4 linked regions of the Saccharomyces cerevisiae S288C genome follow. The protein of the gene in region 1 binds, or shares a complex with, the protein of each later gene. Each region holds a gene or a part of one and is shown in the gene's direction. Other genes may lie near its edges. The genes, in order: MED1, MED4, CSE2 and SOH1.

Region 1 (4,884 bases):
CATTGGTGGGCACCTCACTGTTATTAATACAGTCCATATTATTTTCGAGCGCTTGTGAGTGATTCAGATAATAATTATAGAGATTCTCTCTAGTGGTGAATCTCTGAAGATCTTGCGATGGATTGTAGTCGATTTTTTCGTTCCAATTATCGGCCAATTCACTCAACTCACTCCATTTGGACTCTACCATGGGATTATTTACATCTTGTGCCATCATTTTATTGAATCTGCCATTTATCAAATAATCGATATATGATTTCGAATGGAACTCCAGCAGATCATCCTTTCTGGCGTAGGGAAATGTTAGCACTTCGTCAAAGTGCTGGAGAAGATCGTACGCGTTTATTAGGGAATATGTCAGCTGCGATTTTTGATGATTGTTACATGGGAGTAAATCTGCTACTTGAGACTGAAATATTGACGTTGATATGACCAATTTCGACATAGCGTTTTTCTAAAATGGACAGGTGTTTATTAATTCATATTACAGTACATACACCTTTTTTTTACTTTTTGTTTCTTTATTAATTTTTTAGTTTTTTTCATATTCTATTTTATTATAAGTAGTAATATGAAGAAATTTCCCAAGCAAAGCTCAATAAAATTATTTAGCTAAACAAACATATGCATATATATGTATATTCTCCCTAATTTAATTCCTTGGCTGCCCAGGTTGGTAGAACAAAGGAAGCTTCGTGAATTTTCTTGTTATAGTATCTGTATAATTCAGCCTCCTTCTCATCAGAGATTTCACGTAGTGGCTTCTTGACATTGCAAGTTTTATCTTTGGAGCAAACCATAAAACCAATCGTACCAGTTGGGTAAGTTGGAATAGTAACGAAAGAGTATTCTGCAACTGGGAAAACTTCAGAACAGGCTTTCTTTAAGTCCTTAATGATTGGCAAGTGAATCCACATACTTTCTGCTTGTGTAGTGATTACACCCTTTTCTGTCAACGCACTGTTCAACAATTGGAAATATTCCTTTTGGAAAAGGGTTTCAGCTGGACCTTCTGGGTCAGAAGAGTCAGTAATGATTACGTCAAATGTGTTTTGGTAATCTCTTAAAAATTGGAAACCATCACCAATGTGGGTCTTAACCTTTGGGTGAGAATAAGAGGCAGCCATTTCTGGTAGGTACTCCTTTGATAGTCTAATAACAGCTTCATCAATGTCACATAACCAGGCTTCCTCAACGGAATCATGCTTGACAACCTCTCTCAAAACACCACCATCACCCCCACCAATAACAAGAACCTTCTTAGGATTTGGATGGGAATTCAAGGCAAGATGGGCAATCATTTCTTGGTAGGCAAATTCATCCCTTTCGGTGGCTTGAATTACATTATCTAAAACTAGAACATTACCATATGTAGTGGATTTGAAGATCAAAACGTCTTGATATTTTGACTTCTCATGGTGTAAAACTTTCTCCACTTTTAAAGTCATGGCCTGGCCTGGCCACATGGTATCAGAAATTTCTCTGAACCAGCCGTCTACAATAGTTGGGTGAGTGATTTCTTGTGCCATTAGATTTATTGCTTATTAGTGTTTGCTCTTCTTGACTGAACTACTATGTGAAGCGTACAAGATACTAAATTACTAAGTCAGTTTTATATCACAGCTATTCCTTATCTCATGCCAATAGCATTTTTAGAGAAAAAAATGAAAGGTGAAAAAATTTTTTTTCTCAAGCAAAGAAATGAGGAGTTCCTGAAATCATGCAGGTGCAGAATATTGGTGTAGAGAATCGCGTTTGTATATTGTCTTAATCCTGTACTTACGAGTAGGTATTTGATGTTTTAAAAATTGCAAATGTACTTTTTGCGAAATCTTGCAACATTTTTTTTGTCAGGATGTAATTGCAACTAATTAATTTTTCAAAACTTAAAATGAAGGTTACCTATTAAGGAACGTTTGTGTTTGAAAAAGAACTCCTAATCAAAAGCAAAGAAAACATAGAACAAAAGCCAACAAAACTCTTTTGGAGATGGTAGAAGGAGACTCTTATGTGGAGACTTTAGACTCCATGATTGAATTATTCAAGGATTACAAACCTGGTTCCATAACTTTGGAGAATATAACACGACTTTGTCAAACTTTGGGTCTCGAGTCCTTCACAGAAGAATTGAGTAATGAACTTTCAAGATTATCGACGGCATCTAAAATTATCGTGATAGATGTTGACTACAATAAGAAGCAAGACAGAATTCAGGACGTTAAACTCGTACTAGCATCTAATTTTGATAATTTTGACTACTTTAACCAACGAGATGGAGAGCATGAAAAAAGCAACATTCTTCTAAATTCCTTAACAAAGTATCCTGATTTGAAAGCTTTTCATAACAATTTGAAGTTTCTATATCTGTTAGATGCATATTCCCACATCGAGTCCGATTCTACCTCCCATAATAATGGGTCTTCTGACAAAAGCTTAGATTCAAGCAACGCATCATTTAACAACCAAGGTAAACTTGATCTTTTTAAGTATTTCACGGAACTATCACACTATATAAGACAATGTTTCCAAGACAATTGTTGCGACTTTAAAGTCAGGACCAATTTGAATGATAAATTTGGAATATATATTTTAACCCAGGGCATCAATGGTAAGGAAGTGCCTTTAGCCAAAATTTATTTAGAAGAAAACAAAAGCGATTCACAATACAGGTTCTATGAGTACATATATTCACAAGAAACCAAATCTTGGATAAATGAATCTGCTGAGAATTTTTCTAACGGCATTTCCTTGGTTATGGAAATAGTAGCAAACGCTAAGGAAAGTAACTATACAGACTTAATTTGGTTTCCTGAGGATTTCATATCACCGGAACTTATTATAGATAAAGTTACATGTTCATCAAACTCATCTTCTTCGCCACCTATAATTGATTTATTTTCGAACAATAACTACAATAGTAGAATACAACTGATGAACGATTTTACAACAAAATTAATCAATATTAAAAAATTTGACATAAGTAATGACAATCTAGATCTAATCTCTGAGATACTAAAATGGGTTCAATGGTCGAGGATAGTACTTCAAAATGTTTTTAAACTGGTCTCCACACCTAGTTCAAATTCAAATTCATCGGAACTTGAACCTGACTATCAAGCTCCATTCTCCACCTCGACTAAAGACAAAAATTCTTCAACATCTAACACTGAGCCAATTCCAAGAAGTAACAGACATGGAAGTGTAGTAGAGGCCTCTAGAAGAAGGCGTTCTTCAACTAATAAAAGCAAACGTCCCAGTATAACTGAAGCAATGATGCTTAAAGAAGAGGGTTTACAGCAATTTAATTTGCACGAAATTTTATCTGAACCCGCAATAGAGGAGGAAAATGGAGACAGCATCAAAGAGCACTCTACAACTATGGATGGTGCCAATGACCTCGGATTCACCGCCTCTGTTTCGAATCAAGAAAATGCAGGAACTGATATTGTGATGGAAGATCATGGTGTACTGCAAGGCACTAGTCAAAATTATGGTACTGCAACAGCGGATGACGCAGACATAGAAATGAAAGACGTCAGTTCTAAGCCTAGTAAACCTGAATCGTCGGTCTTACAACTAATTGTAAGTGAAGATCATATCATTCTCGACACTATTTCAGAATGTAACTTGTATGATGATGTAAAATGCTGGAGTAAATTTATTGAAAAATTTCAGGATATCGTTAGCTAAGGAGGTACGGAGTGGCTCAAATACACATTGTGGACCGTACACTCGATGGAGTTTAGGTTTACGTACACCTTCTAGTGCAAGGTGCATGCTTTTCATACCTCATATGACTGAGTTTGTTTAGTGTGGCCTATATTCTAAAAAAGATAAACGTTAGAATAAATGAGCTTGCGAACTGAGCCATTTACCGGTCATTTGCCAATATATATAATCAAGGACATCTCTATCATTGTGAGAAATACTAAAAATGTAGGAAAAAGGTTAAAACAAGAACCACTAACACGCTAGATAGGTAGATAGGTAGGTAGGAGGAGGTCGATATTATTACTGCATATATATATTTTTTTCCATTCTGCGTTTTCTTGCTGCAGCGTATTTATGTATCAAGATCCCGGGGCAGCTGTAAGTGTACTGTCTAGAAAATAAATCAGCAGGCCGCTTGCTACTTCAGTAAAAAAGAGAGTAGAAACTGGAAATTTTTTTGGCAGTCAAAAATTTAATATATAAAAAAGGCCCTTTCTGTTTTAAGTGCATTTATTAAATGTTTCCAGTTCCAAGACGATTGGCAACGGAATTATGCAAAACGGCACAGAAGACAAAAGCAATATTCCTGCTCGTAGTAATGATGATGTATTGCCGCCGTTAGCCGTCAGACTTACTATGAAAGTAATGCGATTAATTTTCATCGGAAAAATGTTTGCATATTCATTTGTACCCTTTCCCCCATTTAAACTTTTGACATTTGATAATACTGTGGGCTGGTTCGTAGCATATTCAGCGATCGTTTCTATTTGGGGGTTTGCTGTGTGGATGGAAAGAGGATATAGACATAAGATTAATCTACTGCCTCCAAGATGTACGAAGATAAGATGCTCTCGCTGCAATACAAGAATAAGATCCCCCAATTGGTTCAAATATAAGAATTGGTTATATTTTTTCCTATTATACGTTTCTCTAACCACTTCTAACTTAATAATTCAACTGGCCTCTTTTATGACAGAAATGAGTCGTCGGGGTATAAGCGTTCCTGGAACGAAGGATCCAGGCAAGAGAGATTATTTAGGGCTTATCATACCAATGCGATTCATTGGTGCATTTATCCATTACATGACGGCTAATTTATTCAAAGAGTATTATTTACATAACGGCCCACTAGAAAAGAATGATAGACCTTCTACCGATGAGAAGACATCAGAG
Region 2 (4,012 bases), on another chromosome or scaffold:
TGCTTTCAAAATACATTCAGATATATTTGCTAAATGGTCTAATGATAACAACAAGCAGTTAAGAATTATTATGGCTCGCTCTTATACATTTGTTATCAACATCGCCCTGGAAAGCATATATAGAGCTGTTTTGGAAAAAGTAATCAAATATAGAACCGAGGTCGAAAACACATGGTTACAACAACTCCAAGACGAATTGAATGGGTCCTATTCGCTCACTGACAATGTAAATACTCCAATCGATCCCAGTTTAAGTGACCTGGGCGTCACAAGCGCCAGTCCATTGGCGGGAAATTCTCCAGGATTACCCCCGGAGGAAGTGCGAAATAACAGCGAAAACGCTTCGCATAACAATGAAACTGGGCCAATTGAGACTGAACTGGCACAGACAATATCCAACGAATTTTGGACGGCGTACAACCTTGGCTGGGAGGAACTAATGAGTCAGCCAGATTATAAATATTTATTTGATACGCAGTAGAGGAGAAGTTCTTTTACAAAAAAACATGCTTGCGACAGCAGCTAGATAGAAAACTTGCATATTGTAATGGAAGACAGTCGAGAGCAAGCCATTGGCTTGGACTTGCGCTTGGACCTATCTTTCGGACCAACTATTTAATGATTAGTAAGACAAAAATGACATTTAAGCATCTATAAAATAAGAAAAATAAAAAAATGAAGGGAAAAAGCTAAACACTAACTTCTTGACCAAACAAACAAGGAAAAGCCAGTAATTGCGTGAACAAAAGGCACCTGCAATTGTTCTGATGGATGTACTTTGTCCAACCTATTCTGCAAGAAAAAGAAATCAACTCCAAAGAAGTATGGAGCTTACTGGCACTCTAGCCTCCAAAAGCTGTTAAAGTGTTCATTCGATTGTCAAAAATCTTCCCCATAATAATCACCCACCTCAACAAAATACTTCCACTTAATTATTGATCGATTAGAGCTAGCGTCAGTGATTATATGCTAGTCCGAAAGGACAGCCCCATGACAGCGGCCGCGCAGACGCCTAGGGGGGAAATAAGGGGTGACAATACCAATGAGTATAAAGGCAGAAAGAAGAGAAACAGAAGCACGGGGGTTTCGTTTGGTCTTCAAATATATGTTAGGTCGGTACCTTTTCATTGCAAAATTGAAAAGATTTGAGCGTGTAAAAGTAAAAAAATACATGATGGGTTCCCAAGATTTAGCTAGTTTAATTGGGAGGTTTAAATACGTCAGGGTGTTAGATTCGAACCCTCATACAAAGGTAATCTCACTACTAGGCAGCATAGATGGGAAGGATGCCGTGTTAACTGCTGAAAAGACGCATTTCATATTTGATGAAACGGTACGTAGACCCTCTCAAAGTGGCCGTAGCACTCCGATTTTCTTTCATCGTGAAATAGACGAGTACTCCTTTTTAAACGGTATTACTGATCTGAAGGAATTAACTTCGAATGACATCTACTACTGGGGGTTGTCTGTTTTGAAGCAGCATATTTTGCATAACCCAACTGCGAAGGTTAACTTAATTTGGCCCGCCTCGCAGTTCCACATCAAGGGATACGACCAGCAGGATTTACATGTCGTCAGAGAAACTCCTGATATGTATAGAAACATAGTTGTGCCCTTTATCCAAGAGATGTGTACCAGCGAAAGAATGAAATGGGTAAACAACATTCTTTACGAGGGCGCCGAGGATGATAGAGTTGTTTATAAGGAATACAGTAGCAGGAATAAAGAGGATGGATTCGTCATCTTGCCCGATATGAAGTGGGACGGAATCAACATTGATTCGTTATACCTGGTCGCGATCGTGTACAGGGACGACATCAAATCTTTGAGAGATTTGAACCCAAACCATAGAGATTGGTTAATTAGACTCAATAAGAAGATTAAGACCATCATCCCCCAGCACTATGACTATAATGTAAACCCGGACGAGCTAAGAGTTTTCATTCATTATCAACCTTCATATTACCATTTTCATGTCCATATAGTGAATATAAGGCATCCAGGAGTAGGCGAGGAGAGAGGCTCCGGAATGACAATACTGTTGGAAGATGTTATAGAAGCGTTGGGTTTCTTAGGTCCTGAAGGTTATATGAAGAAGACGCTTACTTATGTCATTGGTGAAAATCATGATTTATGGAAAAAGGGCTTTAAGGAAGAAGTTGAAAAGCAACTGAAGCATGATGGTATCGCAACCAGTCCTGAAAAAGGCTCTGGGTTCAATACCAATTTGGGTTGAAGGTAGAAGAGCAGCACTATTTTTTCATGTGCTGAACTTCAGGAAGCGCCGGCTTATATAAATGTCTTATTTAAATGTTTGTGTATACATCTCAATGGATTTTGAATTTTAACATAGAATGCGAATGCACAGTAACATAGTACATTCAGTTGCTATTTTCCGTATAAGCTTTCTTTCCCTTATAGCATACATAGCCTTTGACGTATTGCCAGCCTTTTCAAAGAAATGCGAAAAAATAGTGCATTACCACCTACGTAAGGTAGGCTGGAGAAAAAGATAAACTTTTGCATTCTCTGCTCACCATACCGCGAAGGAAAGTAGTTATAACGTGTCCCGTTTTCAACAAGGTTTTCTGGTATATTGTTAACGGTGGAGAAAGCATCTAGTATCAATTACTTCCAGAGTACACACAACGAATGTTATGTCTGTCCAAGATACTAAAGCGGTAGAGTTTTCTATGGGTCACATCAGATCATCCTCTGTATCCCTGGTAGCAGAGGCTACTTCAAACACGAATAGTGAAGACAAATTATCTAAGGTCCAACTCTACGAAGATTTGTGCCGGTACGAGGATACATTGAGTAAGTTGGTGGAATCTGTAGATCGTTTCAAACCAAACCTTGATATTGCCAAGGATTTGATCAGAACTGATGAGGCCTTGTTTGAAAACGTCAAACTGTTAGCTGAATATGACAATATCTACCGCAACTTACAGAAGATTGACAAAGACTCTGAAGAACTAGATTCTAAAACCAGGAAGATATTGGAAATTCTAAATGAATGTCATGACGAGTTAAAAGCACTACCGATGCTTGAACAAGTAGAGTTCGAGAAAAACACAATTTTACAGCAAAGATCGAAAATCAATTCGACAGAGTTGTTGGATTATGCCACCAAACTCTCCAAGTTTACCAAAATACCACCAACGTTCGACAAGGGAGCTGTGGGACCCAACAATTTTATATGGCCCGCAGAGGATGCCCTACGAAGAGGAATGCTTGCTATGGCCTCATTACATAGTAAAGAGCTAACTAGAATACCCGGTGAAGAAGTAGAAGAAACAGAAGTACCGACCGTACCGCCATCTCAAAGTGAAGAACAAAAAGGGCAGATGGCCAAGAAAGAAGGTACACCAAAGACAGACTCGTTTATATTTGATGGTACTGCTAAAGAAGTTGGTGATGAGGCAGACAATACCAAAGATAAAGAAAAGGAAGAAAATAATGATGATGCCCTAGATCTTGATCTTGATCTGTTTGATCCGGACGACTTCTAGTTGCAGTGTCTTGAATCTCTTCCTCGTTAGGAATGAAGAAAAAAAAAAGTTAGACAATAATTCGTGTAGGTAAAAGCGTATATAAAATTACATATATAATTTACTGCAATATGTCAAAGTGTATGAAAAACATTTGAAAGTAAGTTCCCACAGGAACTGGAAAATAAGACAACAAGACTGTGACTTCCACACGCATCTGTCGTTTTTGGCCATCTACTCTTCCTTTTTTGAAATAGGCTTTGGTGAGTAACCACTAAAACTCATTTTTCTCACACGTTCACCTGATCCACTTGCAGCGTTAGAAAATTCCTGCTTGAATCTTTCAAAAGCTTTAGAAAGGTTTTCCTCTTCTATTTCAAGACCATTTTTATTTCTCCATTCTTTGTAATCTTTGCAGAAATCTTCCCAATCTTCCTTAGCATTGTCCCACTTTTCTAACTCAATTGGTGGAATACCTAAGTTCATTTCTTCTTCTTCTGCTGTCTTTCCCTTTTCATGTT
Region 3 (3,540 bases), on another chromosome or scaffold:
GAGCAGTACTCGTTCGGCTATTCCAAGAATGAAGAAGAGTTAAGAAAAAATGAGCTACACCACAAGCACTGGTCGAATCCAATGGAAGTACCACTTCCAGAAGCTCCCCACATGAAAATCTATTGTATATACGGGGTGAACAACCCAACTGAAAGGGCATATGTATATAAGGAAGAGGATGACTCCTCTGCTCTGAATTTGACCATCGACTACGAAAGCAAGCAACCTGTATTCCTCACCGAGGGGGACGGAACCGTTCCGCTCGTGGCGCATTCAATGTGTCACAAATGGGCCCAGGGTGCTTCACCGTACAACCCTGCCGGAATTAACGTTACTATTGTGGAAATGAAACACCAGCCAGATCGATTTGATATACGTGGTGGAGCAAAAAGCGCCGAACACGTAGACATCCTCGGCAGCGCGGAGTTGAACGATTACATCTTGAAAATTGCAAGCGGTAATGGCGATCTCGTCGAGCCACGCCAATTGTCTAATTTGAGCCAGTGGGTTTCTCAGATGCCCTTCCCAATGTAAATGACCGACATTGACTCACTATCCATCCGTGTATTATTTCAAAGAGCGAAAAGAAGGCGCGTCGCGTCGACGCGCCTTTTTAGGCTAGAAAATAAACAGAAAACAAAAACAAAAACAAAAAAAGGCGAAAAAACAAACGAAAAAACAAACGACAGTAGATAGAGGAGAAGGTTTTTGACAGGTTTGTGTAATTGGTTATTTGCTTTTATAGATTATATATACACAAACTTAAAACACTGTTTTCTAAGTAGGCTGCGGAGAGGGCCAATTGCAGCAGCGACGTACGCATAGAGGAAAAACAACCGTTCATGTCCATTATGAAGCAGAGGCTACCACTGGGGGAGTTTTCCAGCTCGAAGATCAACAAACTGGCAATTGCCAATATTGCAGACGCTAGCGAGCCTAGAAACCATGGAGAAAACAACGTCGGGACTGTGTGTCTTCCCTCTATCAAGAGTTTGATGGTTAGTCCTGAAGTATACGAAAACACGAAGAGTCTTCCTGTTCCCCTAATGAGGAGCAGTGGCGGAGGTATGGCTTGTGCCAGTAAGTCCTCATGCCAGGATGGTATTAGTACGAAAACAACGTCTAGAGATTACTCTGAGCTTTCCAAGAAGTTGCAAATTCGTTTACAGTTCGCCTATTATAAATACAAGACTAAGCAAACAGACAAAAATTTCACAGACTTGAAATCAAAGCATAGCATTACGAGGCCTTCCAAAGTCGCGACTCACAGTAAATCAGAACCTTTAACTAGGAGAAGAAAATTAGTACTATCTCAGGGTCATTATAAAACCCCTGCTAGGTCTAAGATCAAAACTCCATCTTCGATTTGCTCTCACGATAATACATCTTCCTTTACATCTTTCCGCGGTGTCAGCGAAAGCTCGAGCACTACCGCAGATATGAACGTCGCAGATACCACCACACCAATACGCAACAACATAAACACAAAGCATTCAAACAGTCATAATCGCACATTGTATCAGAGACAAGAAACACCTACAAGCATCAAAGCCGCTAAGTCTTTAATTCATCTCTTTACAAGTAACCAATAATCCCACCCCCAATATTTCTATCTTTCATTTTCATTCTCCTTCATTGTGTATATAATAATATTATTGTCTTCGTATATCTTCCACATTACCTTTTCACTTCCGCTTTAGTTCTGTACGTATAATTAGATAGAATATCATATAAAACCTGATTTTATTAGTATCGATTGCAATTCTACTGCGGCCATTAACTGTAACCGAATTGAAGAAAATAAAAGAAAAAAAGAGAACATGCATAAATGGGAAAAAGAAGGCGAAGCATACCAGCATCTACCAGAGAGACACGAGCACTGAAAGTCGCCATAAAATGAATCTACAGAACAACGTTTTAAATCAGATACACCAGATTCTGCTGCCTACGAATCCTACTCTCGATAAACCTAATGCTGAGGCTACAAAGGAAGAATTTTCGTCTGCAGAAAATAGAGATGAAAAAGACTATCTTACCAACCAGCAGCCGAAAAATCTGAGTACTCCCTCCACCAGTTCCAACGGTGAATTTATACCGCATATTTTTTATTCGCTGCACCAAATAAGGAAGGATCCAAACAATCTCTCAAATCAATTGGAAACCTTAACAGGTTCGATTAGACATCGTTTGAAACTTTGTAAATCTTTGATATCGGAAAACGAAGATACCAAGGATTTATTAAGTAAAAGTCCATCAGAATGGCAGGATATCATCCATCAACGTGAACAAGAACTGCAAATTAAGAGAGACGTCTTGGATGATCTTTATCGCAAGTTACAACGATAAAATCTATGCTATCTATCTTTAGTCTATATATATATATATATATACATACGCATACCACATCTTCAAACGTGCATATAGAATGGAGCCTGCGTTTCTAGCAATACACATACACCTGTCAAAAAACCTTCACCGCCTCCCCCTATTTGTTTTATCGTCAATTAAATCTTTAAAGATTTGTGGAACCATGTCTATCAACCATTCTTCCTTAGGGATAACTAGACAGTCCCTGATAAATTCCTTCGACGTTAGCATCAATTGTTGATAAAGCACATATTTGCTTGGTCTCTGCGCCTTTTCCTTATGATTAACGAAAAGTATACTGGTAGGATGAACACTAACGTTCAGCCCACCTGATGACCTACCCATGGTTTGATAGCCGGTGGGGCCTAATTGTACAATATTCATCGGAAACCCGCTGATGAAGCATCGAGTTATTCTAGCATTTATGTAGCCCGCTATATTGCCTATCTTCATCCTGGCTTGGTCGTTCTTTTCAACTAATCCAACCTTTTCACTGCACCTGAATAATTGGTTTCTAATATTTCTTACCCTCAACATCGTTTTGAATTGAATTTTGTGGTCTTGACACCAACTTCTGGAAAATTTAGAGTTTCTCCATTGGTTGAAGATTTCCAAATACAATATGTGATCACTTTCCACTTCGCTTAACACACTTGCCGCAGCATCTCTTTTTTGACCAATAAATAATGAAGGTGTTTCATGTAGCATCGAAACTATGGTCAAACACTCTTCTAGTACACCTTGACATTGTTCGTGCGTAGCAGCTGTATAAAGCACTTTTGCAAATTCAGGTTCACAAGGAAACTCGCACATCATTTTACCTAACCGAGTGATTGTCCCTTTGCTATTTAAGGCACCTAAAATGTATAAATTTTCCAAAGACTTCCGTAATGTGGGGATACTGGGCTTATCCATCAGGGGAAACTTTATTAGGTCAGTAACGCCAAGCGATAATAATAATAACACCGTATTAGAAAGATTTGTTCTTGTGATCTCAGGCTTAGGCATAAGTTCCAACTCGTGCAAATATGACCATTTGGTAAAAATTCTAAAACATTTTCCCGGCCCAACACGACCAGCCCTACCGGCACGCTGATCAACTGAAGCTCTTGAGCATGGAACTGTTAAAAGTTGGGTCATTCCAGTGGAGGGTACGTACGAATTTTCCTTAAC
Region 4 (3,278 bases), on another chromosome or scaffold:
GAAATGGGCATATTGGTGCAGGTAAGGTGCATGCACGTTTCCAAACCAAGCACAGACTGCGCTGTCGCAACCAAGTCCGTGGACAGATGTGACAACCGTCCACCGCCTGCATTCCAGGTGATGTCAATAAATTGGGGCAAAGAAGCCTCGTACATCCGGTCCATCCGGTCATACAGGTTCTGTACACCTTGTGTAGTCTTCGGGACGAAGTACTCGAATGAGTAAGTGGGCTTGCCAGAGGTCTGTCTATGTTGCTCTAATTTTTCTGTGATCTTCATATTGCGATGTGGTTGTAGTAGTAACTGTGGTGGTTCTGTTTGCTGATAACTTTAGTTTAGGGAGACTATTTCAATCAAGGGGAGCAAGGCAAACTACACGAAACACAAGCTGTGGCATTAGCTTTTCCACGAGCGAAATATCACCTTTTTTTTTCTACTTTTCGTATATATGATATATATACGTATATATATATATACATACAAACATATATATATATATATATATATCAAATTTTGGAAAAATTTGAGTCAAAGTTGCATATGCAATATTCACAGTCTATAATCCGAGGGATAGAATGACTAAACGACGGCCCGCTACCGGGAGAAAAGTCGCTGTTATTTTTTCAGTCGCTCGTGGTCTATCGCCAACTTTTCCTGAGTCATACTGGACGTAGCGCGGCTGCGTCGCGAGCGTAGACAAGGCCTGTCACTATGTACGCAGCTAGCAATCCAGACATGTGCTCACGTACGGTGTGGAAACGGGACGCCACCGCAGTCAACAGCAGCTGCCATAACCACGTGACCAATAGCGTCAGCAGTATGATTACTGGGTGGTCGCATGCTATGCATCGCGTCAAACGGAGCAGGGCGGCCGCGCACGTGACAGGCGGCTCGACTATCGCACGCCACAAACGGGCGCCACAGGTCATTGAGCCGCCGCCACACCGCCGCCACGTCCATAGCGGTCCAGTGTCGAAAAGGCGGGTCACCAATCGTACAAGCTGCCATTTCTGCGCGTACAAGTGAGCCAGTGCACGACGCCCAAACACACGTAGCTCACCTAGAAGAAACATGCACATCAAGGTGGCCAAGAACACGTGCCCGGATGGATCGTGTCCTCCAGCCCAATGGCCTCCAAAACGTCTGCACTGTGCCGAGGTGGTTAACGGACCTTGCCACCTGTGCATCTGGTCATGAATAAAAGTATTGATGGCAGCGGCAGCGCTGGCCGTTACGTTTTTTGGGGTTTTCGGTTGCGTCGCCTGCAGGGCGCCCTGGATCGACCCTATGGAGCGGTCCCAGAGTTGTTGCTGACGGTGTTCTTGGTGGTGTCCGTGCAAAGTGAGGACATTGTGAATGAGCGCCAACGCGCGATTAGTCCGGGTGACAGAACCCTGGAAGTCTTCGTTCACGTGACCTGCATCATCGAAGACGTCATAGTGACAATGGCCACCCGTATATACGAATACCAAGTCCATGATGGGGCCTACGCCAAACCATATACCTTGCGTGAATACGTACCACCACACTGTCAGTATGGCATACCTTTTGAATGACTGGACAATGTGTCTTCGGTCTCTGCCGGTTGCCCCCGGCACCGCACGGTAGCGTATAATACACCACCATCCGACCAAGGAAGTCCAAAACCACCCTTTCTTTACCAACATAGCATTTACCAGACCATCCTTATTCAGGGTTGCTTGCAGCGCCGCACCGTAGCCATACGCGTTCATGAGATATCCTACCAGTACCGTCAACGGGCACACCAGTAGGTGTATAGCATTAAACCATTTGCTAGACATTGTTGTAATATGCCGTGCTTTATAGCTGGTTTCAGTGGAGTTTTAGGCGTTTCCCCTTTGGCTTTTTTCGAACAGTTCGTTTTGTATTTTATTTCACGGTTTTCCCGCTAACGTGTTCTTAAAGGATGAAAAAGAAAAAGAAATGCAGGAAAAATGAGGCAAAGTAAGCCAAAACTTATAGCACTCATAAGACGGCAAAGTTCCCCCAAGCTCCACCCAGGATGTCAAGCACTAATGGAAACGCACCAGCGACACCTTCCTCGGATCAAAATCCTCTCCCCACGAGGTTCGAAGTGGAGCTCGAATTTATCCAGTCACTGGCAAACATCCAATACGTAACGTACTTACTCACTCAACAGCAGATCTGGAAGTCTCCTAACTTCAAAAACTACTTGAAATACCTGGAGTACTGGTGCAACCCCCCTTATTCGCAATGCATTGTGTATCCAAACTGTCTCTTCATTTTAAAGCTGTTGAACGGGTTCATGGAGTCGGCGATCGTTAATGAAGATGGCCTGCTGGAAGGGCTAGACGAGCTGCCCAAGATCATTCAATTACAAGGCCCGCAATGGATGAATGAAATGGTAGAAAGATGGGCCAACTGAACACACCTAATTATAACTACATTCGCACGCATTCATATATCTATTTTATACACTCATGAATATATATACACACACACACATATATATATCACATATATACATATATATATGTATATATATATGCAAGCCGCATTACTTTGTATTTTCTTTCCTTTGTTTTCCTTGCATATTATCTCGCAAGACATTAGAAGATGAAAGCAAAATCAAAAAGCAAGTCCATCGCCGTACTACAAGCCTCGCCACGACTATGCCAGGACACGAATTGGAAGACGTAATAAATCAACGTTTGAACCTATATGATGTATTAGAATTACCGACCCCCCTGGACGTCCATACCATCTACGATGATTTGCCCCAAATTAAACGCAAATACAGGACCCTTGCCCTGAAGTATCATCCTGACAAACACCCGGACAATCCATCAATTATACACAAATTCCACTTATTATCGACCGCAACTAATATCCTCACCAATGCAGACGTGAGACCCCATTACGACCGCTGGTTAATTGAGTTCCTACGGAAAACAAACGACATTGAAAGAAATAAACTTATACAAAAGCTGGAAGAATCTGAATCGAGTACGATACCCACCACCACACCACATCCTGATTTATTGCAAATCCAACGCCACGGCGAGCTACTCAGGAAACTAAAACATTTCAACTTGCCCTATGGTGACTGGAAACATCTCAACACACAAGACCAAGAAAATGCTTCGCAACATCCGTATTACGATTGCTCTACTTTGAGAATTGTCCTTGACAACTTCCTGCAATCAAATAATAAATCAAACTGCTTATCTCATTTGCGCAATCAAGTATTCATCACGCTAAGTGCTAATGAAATCTACGACATCTACTTCTCTGAAA

Evidence for each region.
Region 2: MED1 (region 1) and MED4 share a complex: the UniProt entries of both Saccharomyces cerevisiae proteins name them as parts of the mediator complex.
Region 3: MED1 (region 1) and CSE2 share a complex: the UniProt entries of both Saccharomyces cerevisiae proteins name them as parts of the mediator complex.
Region 4: MED1 (region 1) and SOH1 share a complex: the UniProt entries of both Saccharomyces cerevisiae proteins name them as parts of the mediator complex.

Annotation. Positions count from the first base shown.
Region 1 is NC_001148.4:683,909-688,792, forward strand, and holds MED1 (Med1p), read left to right. Parts: upstream 1-1,989; coding exon 1,990-3,690; downstream 3,691-4,884. Other genes in the region: HOS1 (histone deacetylase), read right to left, coding at 1-445; SPE3 (spermidine synthase), read right to left, coding at 648-1,529; YPR071W (uncharacterized protein), read left to right, coding at 4,264-4,884. UniProt on the Saccharomyces cerevisiae protein: Component of the Mediator complex, a coactivator involved in the regulated transcription of nearly all RNA polymerase II-dependent genes.
Region 2 is NC_001147.6:656,090-660,101, forward strand, and holds MED4 (Med4p), read left to right. Parts: upstream 1-2,657; coding exon 2,658-3,512; downstream 3,513-4,012. Other genes in the region: YRM1 (Yrm1p), read left to right, coding at 1-481; DCS2 (5'-(N(7)-methyl 5'-triphosphoguanosine)-(mRNA) diphosphatase), read left to right, coding at 1,175-2,236; ALE1 (lysophospholipid acyltransferase), read right to left, coding at 3,726-4,012. UniProt on the Saccharomyces cerevisiae protein: Component of the Mediator complex, a coactivator involved in the regulated transcription of nearly all RNA polymerase II-dependent genes.
Region 3 is NC_001146.8:641,848-645,387, forward strand, and holds CSE2 (Cse2p), read left to right. Parts: upstream 1-1,896; coding exon 1,897-2,346; downstream 2,347-3,540. Other genes in the region: LRO1 (phospholipid:diacylglycerol acyltransferase), read left to right, coding at 1-534; NRM1 (Nrm1p), read left to right, coding at 843-1,592; DEAH-box RNA-dependent ATPase PRP2, read right to left, coding at 2,473-3,540. UniProt on the Saccharomyces cerevisiae protein: Component of the Mediator complex, a coactivator involved in the regulated transcription of nearly all RNA polymerase II-dependent genes.
Region 4 is NC_001139.9:269,520-272,797, reverse strand, and holds SOH1 (mediator complex subunit SOH1), read left to right. Parts: upstream 1-2,022; coding exon 2,023-2,406; downstream 2,407-3,278. Other genes in the region: methylenetetrahydrofolate reductase (NAD(P)H) MET13, read right to left, coding at 1-278; SCS3 (Scs3p), read right to left, coding at 659-1,801; U2-type spliceosomal complex subunit CWC23, read left to right, coding at 2,654-3,278. UniProt on the Saccharomyces cerevisiae protein: Component of the Mediator complex, a coactivator involved in the regulated transcription of nearly all RNA polymerase II-dependent genes.